Canis lupus familiaris: one gene and its partners. The protein of the gene in region 3 interacts with the protein of the main gene of each other region in a biochemical or structural test. Links are inferred from orthologs where the notes say so. Each region holds a gene or a part of one and is shown on either strand. Other genes may lie near its edges.

Region 1 (4,309 bases), on a different chromosome or scaffold from region 3:
TTCTTCCTGTCTTTAAACACTCCTTATAAACATACATTACAAATGGCTATCCTACAAGGAACTTTGCAACTTCAACCCAAATCACCAAAAGACTCTAAAGAAAGAAGTAACTTCCCGTACTTTTAAAAGCAATAGAAAAACATATCCTAATCTCAGGCAAAATGGTAACTTCCTGACAAATTTTCAGTATCTGAGGTCTTGATATAAACCTGCCATAAGAGGCGCCTGGGTGGCTCAGTCGGTTAAGGTCATGATCCAGCTCAGGTCATGATCCCCAGGGCCTGGAGAATCAAGCCTCAGTCAGGCTCCCTGCTCAGTGGGGAGTCTGCTTCTCCCTCTCCCTCTGCCCCTTCCCTGCTTGTGCTCTTTCTCTCATTCTCTCCCAAATAAATAAAATCTTAAAAAAAAAAAATCTGCTGTAAAATGATGACTTCTCAAAGACTAAAGTATTTAAGAAATACTTTCACAGAGGAAAAAAAATGACTAAAAAAAAAGGACTTTTAGGTCCCCAGAGTTGGGGGTGGGGGATAGGAGATTACTGAAGCCTACAGTCCCCTAAGTAATGTAAAGAGAGCATACCATGCCACCGATGGGGAAGTCCCAGTGGATGCTGTTAGTTTTACAAGAGAATTACTTTCATTCTTAAGACTAATTTTCTTCATGTGTCCATTTTCACATTTCAAAGTGAAATGTTGCCCTGAAAAATGGTAAAATATAGAGACATAGGAGTAGGGGTATGGGCAAAATGGGTGAAGACGAGTGAGAGGTACTAGTCTTCGGTTATGAAGTGAATAAGTCATAGGATTAAAAGGCACAGCGTTGGGACGCCTGGGTGGCTCAGCGGTTTAGCGCCTGCCTTCAGCCCAGGGTGTGATCCTGGGGTCCCAGGATGGAGTATCGAGTCTCACATCGGGCTCCCTGCATGGAGCCTGCTCCTCCCTCTGCCTATGTCTCTGTCCCTCTCTCTGTGTGTGTCTCCCATGAATAAATAAATAAAATCTCTTTAAAAAATTAAAAAATAAAAGGTACAGCATAGGGAATACAGTCAATGGTATTGTAATGGTGTGTATTGTGGTAGATGGTAGCTACACTTGTGGTGAGCGCAGCATAACTTAGAGTTATTGAACTACTATGTAATACACCTGAAACTAATGTAACATTGTATGTCAACCATACCCAAATAAAAATAAAAGTAAAAAAAATAATAATAAAAATAAAAGTAAAATATAGTAGCTTAAAAAAAATCAGGAAGAAATACTCTAACAGACGTCTGGGTCTGTTTTTTGTGTGTGTTGCAGGTGAAGTTGGCGATTGGAAAAATTTGTTCAGTGAGACTCAGAACCAGGAAATGGATGCAAAATTCAAAGAGTGCTTAACAGGCACTTCCCTAGGAGCAAAGCTGAAGTATGAATCTTATTGCCAAGCTTGATTCTGGTCATTCAGTAGGCATGGATATTTCATTTTTCTGAATAATAATTAAATATAAATAACAAAGTAAGTTGATCAAATAATAATGATAATTCAGTAACATTTATATGTAAATAATGTGAATTTAATAATAATGACAACATTTGAAGTTTTTGAGCTCAGACTTGTTTGTTCGCTTGTTGAGGAAAGGCCATTTAGCTGTCCAAAGGGGACACTCTTGCTAATGTGGCATACTGGGCTTTTCATTTCTTTCATGCTTTGGGTTCACATAAAAGCATAGGCAGATACTATTAGAAATATGCCTAATTGGTGTTTGAGTGTAAGACAGCCCTCCCAATGATGTATATTTTTTTGTCTTCCCAGAATGATTCCTCTATCTCTCACTACAGATCGAAGTACTTGTGGTAGCTATCTCAAACCTACTGTTAGGGGAAATGTAATTCCAACTCGGCACTGAAGTAAATGAATAAATCCTGTCCTCATAGTTCAAGGAAAATGCATTGCTCATCTACTCTCTGCATGTTCCTGCATTAGACCCTAAGGAGGCCCCATTCTTTTTATTTTTAAGATTTTATTTATTTATTTGACAGAGAGAGACAGAGAATGAACACAAGCAGGGGGAGCAGCTGGCAGAGGGAGAGGGAGAAACAGGCTCCACACTGAGCAGGGAGCCTGGCATGGGACATGGGGCTTGATCCCAGGACCCTGGGATCATGACCTGAGCCAAAGGCAGACGCTTAACTGACTGAGCCACCCAGATGCCCCTGGAGGCCCCTCTCTTAAGGGGCCTTTAGTTCAAAGATAAATATTAGATACTGTGTTATTGTGGCATAAAGGCTTTTCTACCACGGAGCCCCAGGTGGTCATGTAGAATTTACAAGAGAAGCTAGAGCATGTTTTGGGAAAAACCTCTTAATCCTTAATCTTCATACCATAGCTGGTTACAGTTAAGAATAGAATGGTTCGGGATCCCTGGGTGGCGCAGCGGTTTGGCGCCTGCCTTTGGCCCAGGGCGCGATCCTGGAGACCCGGGATCGAATCCCACGTCGGGCTCCCGGTGCATGGAGCCTGCTTCTCCCTCTGCCTGTGTCTCTGCCTCTCTGTCTCTCTCTGTGTGACTATCATGAATAAATAAATAAAATCTTTTTTTAAAAAAAGAATAGAATGGTTCATAGAAAAGTTACATAAAATTTCATTGAGAAAGACTGAAGGGTTACTATTTCTGGTAGTATGGTGGATTACATATACTGAAAACTCTTCCCTCAGAACACCAAGAAAATTTGGATAAAAATTCTTAAAAATACTTTTAGTTGATGGGGAGCCTGGGTGGTATAATCAGTTAAGTGGCTAACTCTTGGTTTTGGTTTGGGCCATGATCTCACGGGTCGTGAGATCAAGCTGTGACAACAGGCTCCACAATCAGCAGGAAGTCTGCTTGAGATTCTCTCTCTCCTTCCTTTGCCATTCTCCCAACCCATCTCTCTCTCTCTCTCTTTCTCTCTCTCTCTTTCTCTCTCTCCCTCTCCAAAATAAATAAATAAATCTTAAAAAAAAAAAACCAATTCATTTCTATTTAAGCACTTAAGGACACAGTAGTTTTTGCTCAACATCACATTTCCGGTACAGGGCTACACATAGTAGGCACTCAATAAATATATATTGAATAAAGGGGATTCCTTTTTTTGACAAGAGGTTGTTTTTAGAATATTAGATCAATTATGATGCTTTTGATGTAATAAACATAATATGAAACACAAATTGGTTAGCAGGAGAAAGAAGAGGAGGGGAGGATTCTTTTAACGGACTGGTCTAGGCTGTGTCTGGTTCAGATGCGGCTTGATCCAGAGCTCAAACAAGGACCCGATTCTTAATCTTCGCTTCTCAGCAGTACTCTCTCATGTAGGCTCCATTTCAAGAGAGGTTTCTCCTTGTGCAGTATTGGGAGACAGAAACCACTGTATGTTAAGCATAAGGATTTAGTAGAAAATGAATGCATGCATGTATGTTGGAAGGGCTGGCAGGATGGAAACCAGGAGACTTCCACTATATCTGCTATCCAGAGTTTAGGATTCTGTCACTGCCACTGCTTCCACCACTGCTGCCACCACATATGCCCTATGCCCTTGGAGAATTGACAAGGGAACTTGAGTCCAGCTCCTGTATGCACCACTGAGCACAGGAGCTTGCTTATCAGCTCGTTCTTTCACAGGACAACCTTTTCCTCCCTTCTGTCTTTCAAACCTTGTGCCATTGTTCATCAGTCATTGGCAGAACCCAAATTATGTCCAGAATTTTAACTCCACAGACATCTGGAAAATGTGATTTTAACCTTCCATACATTATAATCCAGGGATTAGGAAGACATAGAAGGGAGTGAGAACGGAAGCTAAATAAAAATATTATCTAGTGCAGTCCACTGCTTTGGCTAATAATCTTTCAAGCAAACAACAGAACTATGTTCCCACCTAATGCTGCCATCCCCTCCTTCAAAGGAAAAACATGTTTATCCTATCCCCTAATCTCTACACCCATTGCTATGTGATCTTTCTTCCTCTTCTCTTTTAGTTACAAATTCCACCTTAATACACTCTAACCTAGGGGCATCTGGGTGACTCAGGTCATGATCCCGTGGTCCTGGGATCAAGTCCTGCTTTGGGCTCCCCACAGAGAGCCTGATTCTCCCTCTGCCTATGCCTCTACCTCTCTGTGTCTTTCATGAATAAATAAATAAAATCTTAAAAAAAAAAGACACTCTATTTTTTTAAAAGATTTATTTATTTATTTATGATAGACATAGAGAGAGAGAGAGAGAGGCAGAGACACAGGAGGAGGGAGAAGCAGGCTCCATGCCGGGAGCCTAACGTGGGACTCGATCCTGGGA
Region 2 (3,526 bases), on a different chromosome or scaffold from region 3:
CAAGTGTCCTAAGAACTAGAAGCAGGTATTAGAAGGCCAGCTCTGTCTCCTTCATTGTCATCCTGCCACCATGAACCTGATCAGTTCTTTCTGCCAAAGACAGAGGCACTTCTTAGAGCTCTGGCTATAAGATAAACTCTGTTATCTTTTTTATAATGTACATGGGTAATGTGTCCTGATTTGACATATCTGCCAGCCTTGTCCATGATAGGGAAACGCACTGCCGGCTATCATTAAGGCCTGCACTTTGCAAATGCACCCCATTCTGTCTTCAGAAACTCAAGTTAACACTAACATATCCCACATAAAATAATTCAACGACATCTCTGCAACTACATTAATTCATCTACATTTTAGCCATCAACAATTATACAAATCCTGAAAACCTGTAATGGGGTCATATAGCACACATTTAAAAATATCAGTTAGAGAAACCTTATGATTTAGTAATTTCTTAACTGTCTTTTATATACTCCAAGTAGTAAACCATATGACCACCCACTCCACCAAATGCTCCCCCCCTCCAAAACCTATCTTCAATTGTGAAGGTGATATTTTTGAAAAAAGAATTTACCATGAGTCCATTTTGTCTCTCACCAAAAATAATGTACCTGAACTTTAAACAAAATTCACATTTTATTTAGGTTGAAATAAACTATACAAAATTGATTTTCTTCACCAAAAATAACAGCAATATTTTCTGTATTATTCCTAGATAACCACGAAAAACTTATTTTTGTAGGTTTTCCAGGTTTTGTTTATAAATCAAGACGAGGCAGTAGATATAGTCATGGAAAAAGACAGAGGAAAACAGACAAATCAGTTGTCAGTATCCATGGCCTCTGATCCTGTCTTGACCATGAACAGAGGTGTTCAACATACACCTGCTAAAAAGCTTACGAAGACATAGATGTTCAACATATACTTGCTAAACAGCTCATGAGGATGTAGGCTCAACAAAGGAATGTAAACAGCAACAACCCAATGTGGAACAATGGCAGGTTCTCTCATTCAAACTTTAAGTATAACTTGTTCCTTCAAGTTCATTTGATAAAGACAAAATCTACACAGAAATCTTTGCTTGGCAAGCTCACTTTTCTCTCTGTCTGGTAACTCCCTTAACTCCATTATAGATTTTTAACATACTAAAACCCCTACTATTCAAAGGTCACTCGTGAGCTTCATTGTAACATTTTACAAAATGTACTCCTTCTTCCAACACCTCTTCAAAATCTATTTTCTCCTAAGAACTGATAGTTCAAATACCCGACAATTGGATCCAGTGATAATAAATGTTATGTCTAAAATGACTTAACTAAAACAATTCCCAAGTGCTATTAGCAGAGATCCCGTAGAAGTGTAATGTGGCACTTTCAATGCTATCTTCTGGAAGAACAGTTATGTCTCCAAAGCACAGGAGTTCAATCAGGGGCCATTTTAAATAGGCAGATTATCAATGGCTAATGTACTTAATGAGAGGTCAATAAGTCAAGATATTCAGTGATTAAGTGGCCTACATACACCTGACAGTTTTTCTTTCTGTAAGATGTTTCAAATTTCTTACAGAGTTTTCCAAATATCAAACATAAGAGAAAGCCTACTTTTAAAGTCTCTTAGGTATTTTCAATGGTTTCTGAGTTATCTGTAGGAAGCTCTGACTTAGTTGTATAGAGTTTGATATATGTGTCTACCATTAAATCCAGATCATGTTTTATATCAAAATTTATGTTAAGCAGAGCCAAGTTACTTGACCTTTGGTCTGTCAAAGTGTTCCTCAGGTATGCTTTGAGACGCTTTCGCCCATTTTCATAGCGTTCATTCTCAACCTTCATCACAGGAAGAATACATAGGACTTTGAGCAATGCATAAACATTAGGAAAAAACTTGATGTCTGGTAGATGTAGGGCTTCATAAATGGTGGATGGAAGCTCTATATCTTTCCCTCTGTGTTTCCACTTGATTCTCCAGCAATGCAGCTCAGCTGAGAGTGTGTCAGGATTGGGCAGGTCACTTCTGTACATGTCAGCATGGTGCTCCTCTGATGTATTAAATTTGAGCTGTCCCATGACAGAGGGTACAAGAGATAAGCATTTAAGAGCTTTGAGGTGCTGTTCTGAGAATATATCTTTCAGTTCCTGAATAATGTGTTCCACTGTTGGAACACTTAGAGTTTCTTTATAGTAACTTTCAGAGGTGAGCTGAGATTCCAGGTTACCTTGCTGCGCTCTGCGGAATTTGCCAGGGAGTTTCATCTGAATATCTAGTTTAGTTGCCAAATTTGTGGCTTCTTCGAACCAAAATTCATGATAAACTTCAATATTTTCCATCACTTCATTTAGAGAATGCAGCACTGCAGTCAAGCTACTGGCTGCAAAGAAGACATCAGAGGTTTGCCCCTGGAGATTTTTCCCAAAGGCTCTTGTAAAAGATAGAACATTCTTAAGGACAACAATGGTAACAATGAAATCAAAATCTGTTACTGCACTACAGAGTACAAAAGCTCGACCAGCTATATAGTTATTCCATCTAATATTTGTATCACTATTTATACCATCTAAACATAGAACAAGTGCTTGTAGGAGATCCACTAAAATTTCAAAAGCATCATGCCTGCCTGTCCACTGAGAATGGCAGATTTCCTTCAGTTCTTTACCCTTTTCCTCATTATTCTGAAAAAGGACAGAAATTACATTGTCAAGCTCCAAAAGCAGTTGTGGAGATCGATGGAAGAACGAACAAACTTCCTCAATTGTTCCTAATGCAACAGATACTCCCACAACAGGCACTGATTTTGCCAACCACATGTTTAAGGCACAGGAAGAACAAAGTGTGTAGACAGCTTGGGGATATTTCTCTAAAAGTCTAGAAGCAACAATTTTCATTTTGGAAGAAAATCCACTAGATACGATGTAAGCCTGACCACGACAATATTCCATATTTAACCCCCACTTCTCGGTTATCGTAGTGTGAAATTTCACAGCCAAAATTTCCGCATCGGCTTCGTAAGGCAAGAAGCCCAAAAATTCCTCTCTCAGGTTATGAGATTCATCAACAAACCTCACCAACACAGGCAAGTGTTCTTCCCCTGCTATGTCCACTACATCATCAGTGATGATGGAAAAGAAGTGAGAGTCTCTCACTTCCCTGAGGGTTTCTTCCCGGATGCAGCTCTCACAGATTTCTAGCATCTGTTTCTGTTGTGTTTTTGAGCAGAACAATGTGTTAACTGCTGTTGTCTCAAAACGCTTTCTTAGAACCTCTTCACCAGAATTTATCCGGCACTCCAGCAGTGCTTGAAAGTTATCAGGAGTAAAGAGACCCTCTGGGATTTCATCAGTTTCATGCCCATCCAGAGGTATGTTTTGTTTTCCCATAAGAATCAAAATTTCAAATAAAGATTTTAGGTATTCTTTGTTTTCTTTCTCTTCGAGAGTCAAAGGTAAAATGTCTTCATCCTGTTCTTCACCCCCTTCTTCTGCACTGGGGTTCTGAGCATTGCTGTTGTTTATTTCTTTATGTTTGGGTT
Region 3 (3,652 bases):
ACTGATCTGGGAAGGTGGTGGGAGGAACTAAAGACATCTCACTGCTGTGCTCTCATTATCAAAGGTGAAAGAGCGGAGACTCAAAAAGCTCTAGTGTCTTGTGCAGGAGGAGGGCAGTAAATCCGGCCTCCTGCCTCCATGACTGTTGGTCTCCCCACTGCACCAGGCACATGAGGGCCGGGAATCTGGCCGGGGCAGGCCTGAAACTGGACTTCTGCAACTGCAAGGCCGGGGACCAGTCACCAGCTCCCGTGGGGTGGCCCGGAGCAGCCCGCCACCCCCCGCATGACACTGCCTGCCATGTGTCCTCCTACTGCAGAGCTAGCAGGCCACTGACCGCTGACTCAGCCCTTTCAGAAGCACAGAACATGTTAAAGACCAACAATACCTGGATCAGAGAGAACTTCTTTAGCAGCTGCTATGTCAATGAACTTTTTCTCCGCTTTTTTCTTTTCTTCTTCATTCTGGAAGTTATCTGGATGCCACTGCAGTGCTAATTTTCGGTATGCTTTAATGATTTCTTGCTTTTTGGCGTTTCTGAGCAGTATTAATATTATCAGTCATTAGTTAAGAAGTGGCCAACACACTGGCACAAAAAAACTAAGAGACACTTAAGATCCCACTGGCAAATTGACACTGGTTTCCCTAACAGTGCCAATGGGGTCATAGGCTGAATGCTTAACGTACAGTTCTGGATGATCATGAAAGCTGGTCAGCCTTCAGAATCTCAACGGGAAGAAATTACTTTTGATCTCTGCAATTTTCTCTTAAAAAAAAAAATCAGACCCATTTTTAAACTTTGCATTTCCAACTTAACCTGATACAATTCCTGGCATTAAAAGAGAGAGCTCTGACTCTGAACCACACTTTTTATTTTGCTTCTGGTTAGCTTACTTAGTTCTGGTGCAGACTGTGACTGAAAGCTGATGGCTCCCTTGCTCAGGGAAGGTGGATCTTGTATAAATTACCTACCTTCTGTCTATCTCAGTGGCTCTAAATTGATTCTCAAAGTGCCACTTTATTCTTAGCCTAGAGAAGTTTGCTCTCTCCTTCCGCTCTCCCCGTCCTGTCCCCACCAAAAGAAAGCTCCCTCCCCTTTATCCTTCCAAAAAAAAATCATGCTACAGTGTCCTACCTCTGTCACCAATCACTAATCTCCCATTGTCACAGTACTAATCTCTATAAAGAAACCTGCTTGTAACAAAATAGCTTCGTGATGTGATGTTTATGATGTGAAAGATGGTTAGGTTTAACCCATGACTAAAATTACATAGCAAGGAACTGAATCAGAGGAGAAAAATGAGCAACAATAAGCTTTAAAACAGTTGATTAAAAATAACAATGTAAATTTTAAATAACTCACCTTTTTACTCCCAAGATTTTATAATAATCTCGTTTCTGCGACTGTTTCAATAGCCTTTGTGCCTTTTCTAGACCTTCCCGAATCTGCTGATCATTTTCATTGTGTTCCTGAGCAGTTTCATAATCCTGAATAGCTGTCAAAATGTTTAAGATAATGCTGTCAAAGGAACTGTAACTTGTAACCTCTACTTATCCTGCAAGATTGACTCTCAAGTCACCATCCTGGCCCCTTCACTCTTTTGCCATTACTGCTAAGAGCCTAAGAAGTGGTGGTGATGATTGGGTTAGCCAACTTCTAAAAGGCATAATGAAGGCTGACTTTAGGTAGCTTTTTACTCCCAGTCAATTAAACTCACTGCTGTCTACCTGCCCACCTTCCCACATTACCTTTGCCACACTTCTGAGAGATTTTAAGATCTGTACTTTATACAAAGCAGTCTTACCATCACGACAACTGAACTGATTGTTACATAGGAAAATAAGACTATGGCAAAGAAAATCTGCACGGTCAGCTACGAGTCCACAATTCAGAAGAATCGGAGGATTAGAAAGGCAGCAAGAAGAACCATCAGCAATCAGAACATCTAAGTCACCCAAGGGCTTCAGCAGGAACTGTTACTTTTTAAGCTGTCACCCAGAGCAGATGACACTGTCCTAGTACAGGGAGTCTGATAACAATCCACATTAAATCTTTCTCAGATTTAATACTTTAGCATGCCTCAGCTTAGAATGCTTTAATATCTAGAACACAAGGCATCAGAATATCTGAGTCACAACACAGCAAACCGGAGACTTATCCTGAGAAAGGCCTGCTGGCAAGGTTGGTCCTGGCTGGCATCTCTGAAGGAGTGTTCCTGCCGTTTCCTGGTAAGAATGGCTCACCGTGCCTCAATGTTTGTACACTGTAGTTTATGTTAAACATGGTCTTTCCTTCTGGGAAACTTGAATTTGGGTGCAGTCAGGGCAGAAGGTGCCTGGCTGACCAACCCCTCATAAATGTCCAGGGCACCGGCACTCTAGCAAGCTTCCCTGGCAGACAGCACCATGCACATCTTGAGGAATTATAGCTTGTCTTGTGATTTCAAAGAGAAAGACTCTTAAAGTCTTCTACCTGCAATTCTCTGGATTTCGTGCCACCTGTCCTTTACCCTTTGCTGATGTTACTTTGTATCCTTTCAGTAGAATAAATCTGAGCCTGAGTACAACTGTATGCTGAATCCTGTGTATCCTCCTCCTACTGCATCACCAAATCTGGGAGTGGTCTTGAGAAGCAGACATCTCAAATAAGGGACTGTTGGATTCAAATTCTAGTTTTTATGGAAGTGCATTTCACCGTGGGGAAAAAACCTCTCTGGATAGCATGCCTGAGGATTTGTCCTGGCACAGCTAATCTTGGAAGGCATTTAAGAGACAAATGATCCTTCTGACATACTGCTGGAAGGTCACTAGCAGCCTAATGCCATGTCACAATGCCTAAGCCATTGCCCTCACTTTATCTCATCATGGAGGCATCAGCTGTTTTATCTCCCATCATCACAAGAATAAGTACAGGACAATAAGATATTTTGAGAGACACCGCCTTCACGTAACTTTTACTATAGTATATTATTGTAATTGTTCTAATATTATTAATCTCTTACCATGCCTAAGTATGAATTATGTATTATGGTACCTAGGTATCATTGGTATTATGTGTAGGAAAAAACAGTGTAGACAGGGTTGGATATGATCTGTAACCTCCATCCACTGGAGGTCTTGGAAGGTATCCCTTGCAGATGGGAGAATTACTGAAAGTAACCTGCACTACAGGAAAAAATGAATCAACACCACCTCTGGTCCTTGGAGGGTACATTTTAAGCTTTTATCCTAATTCCTGCCTCAATGCATTAACATTAAATACTAATATGAAACATTACTACAGTCACCCAACCCATAGTGACAACATAAAATACCTTTCCAATTTAGTACACAAAACTATCATAGAGAGTAGTGAGTTTTAACTTTAAAATTAATACCCATAAAATAAAATCAATTCCAATAACACTTGATACCATAACCTAGTAAGGAAATGTACTCTGAAGGAATTTAATACAAGAAGAAAATGTTTCAATACATGAAATTTTACTATTCATGCAAACTCTAGTTAAAACAGGTTTATATCCTACCCTTTTATTAAAACTTAAGGTAGACACGTTTTTCCCTATCCAGAAAAAAAAGAAAATTATAGGCGGTTTCCTGCATTCACATCATTACAGGTAGGTAATTAGAAAATTAATATGAGTGATGCTTA

What was found.
Region 1: the proteins of DNAJC3 (region 3) and EIF2AK2 form a complex in vitro, tested with the Homo sapiens proteins (2 studies listed by BioGRID). The link is inferred for Canis lupus familiaris from reciprocal best matches to the Homo sapiens genes DNAJC3 and EIF2AK2.
Region 2: the proteins of DNAJC3 (region 3) and THAP12 form a complex in vitro, tested with the Homo sapiens proteins (2 studies listed by BioGRID). The link is inferred for Canis lupus familiaris from reciprocal best matches to the Homo sapiens genes DNAJC3 and THAP12.

What each region holds. Positions count from the first base shown.
Region 1 is NC_049238.1:29,693,421-29,697,729, reverse strand, and holds the start of EIF2AK2 (interferon-induced, double-stranded RNA-activated protein kinase), read left to right. Parts: upstream 1-1,435; 5' UTR 1,436-1,494; exon of another isoform or gene 1,495-3,355; intron 3,356-4,309.
Region 2 is NC_049242.1:22,429,552-22,433,077, reverse strand, and holds the end of THAP12 (52 kDa repressor of the inhibitor of the protein kinase), read right to left. Parts: coding exon 1,614-3,526; 3' UTR 618-1,613; downstream 1-617. UniProt on the Homo sapiens protein: Upstream regulator of interferon-induced serine/threonine protein kinase R (PKR). May block the PKR-inhibitory function of DNAJC3, resulting in restoration of kinase activity and suppression of cell growth.
Region 3 is NC_049243.1:46,522,885-46,526,536, reverse strand, and holds part of DNAJC3 (dnaJ homolog subfamily C member 3), read right to left. Parts: intron 1,497-3,652; coding exon 1,364-1,496; intron 538-1,363; coding exon 389-537; intron 1-388. UniProt on the Homo sapiens protein: Involved in the unfolded protein response (UPR) during endoplasmic reticulum (ER) stress.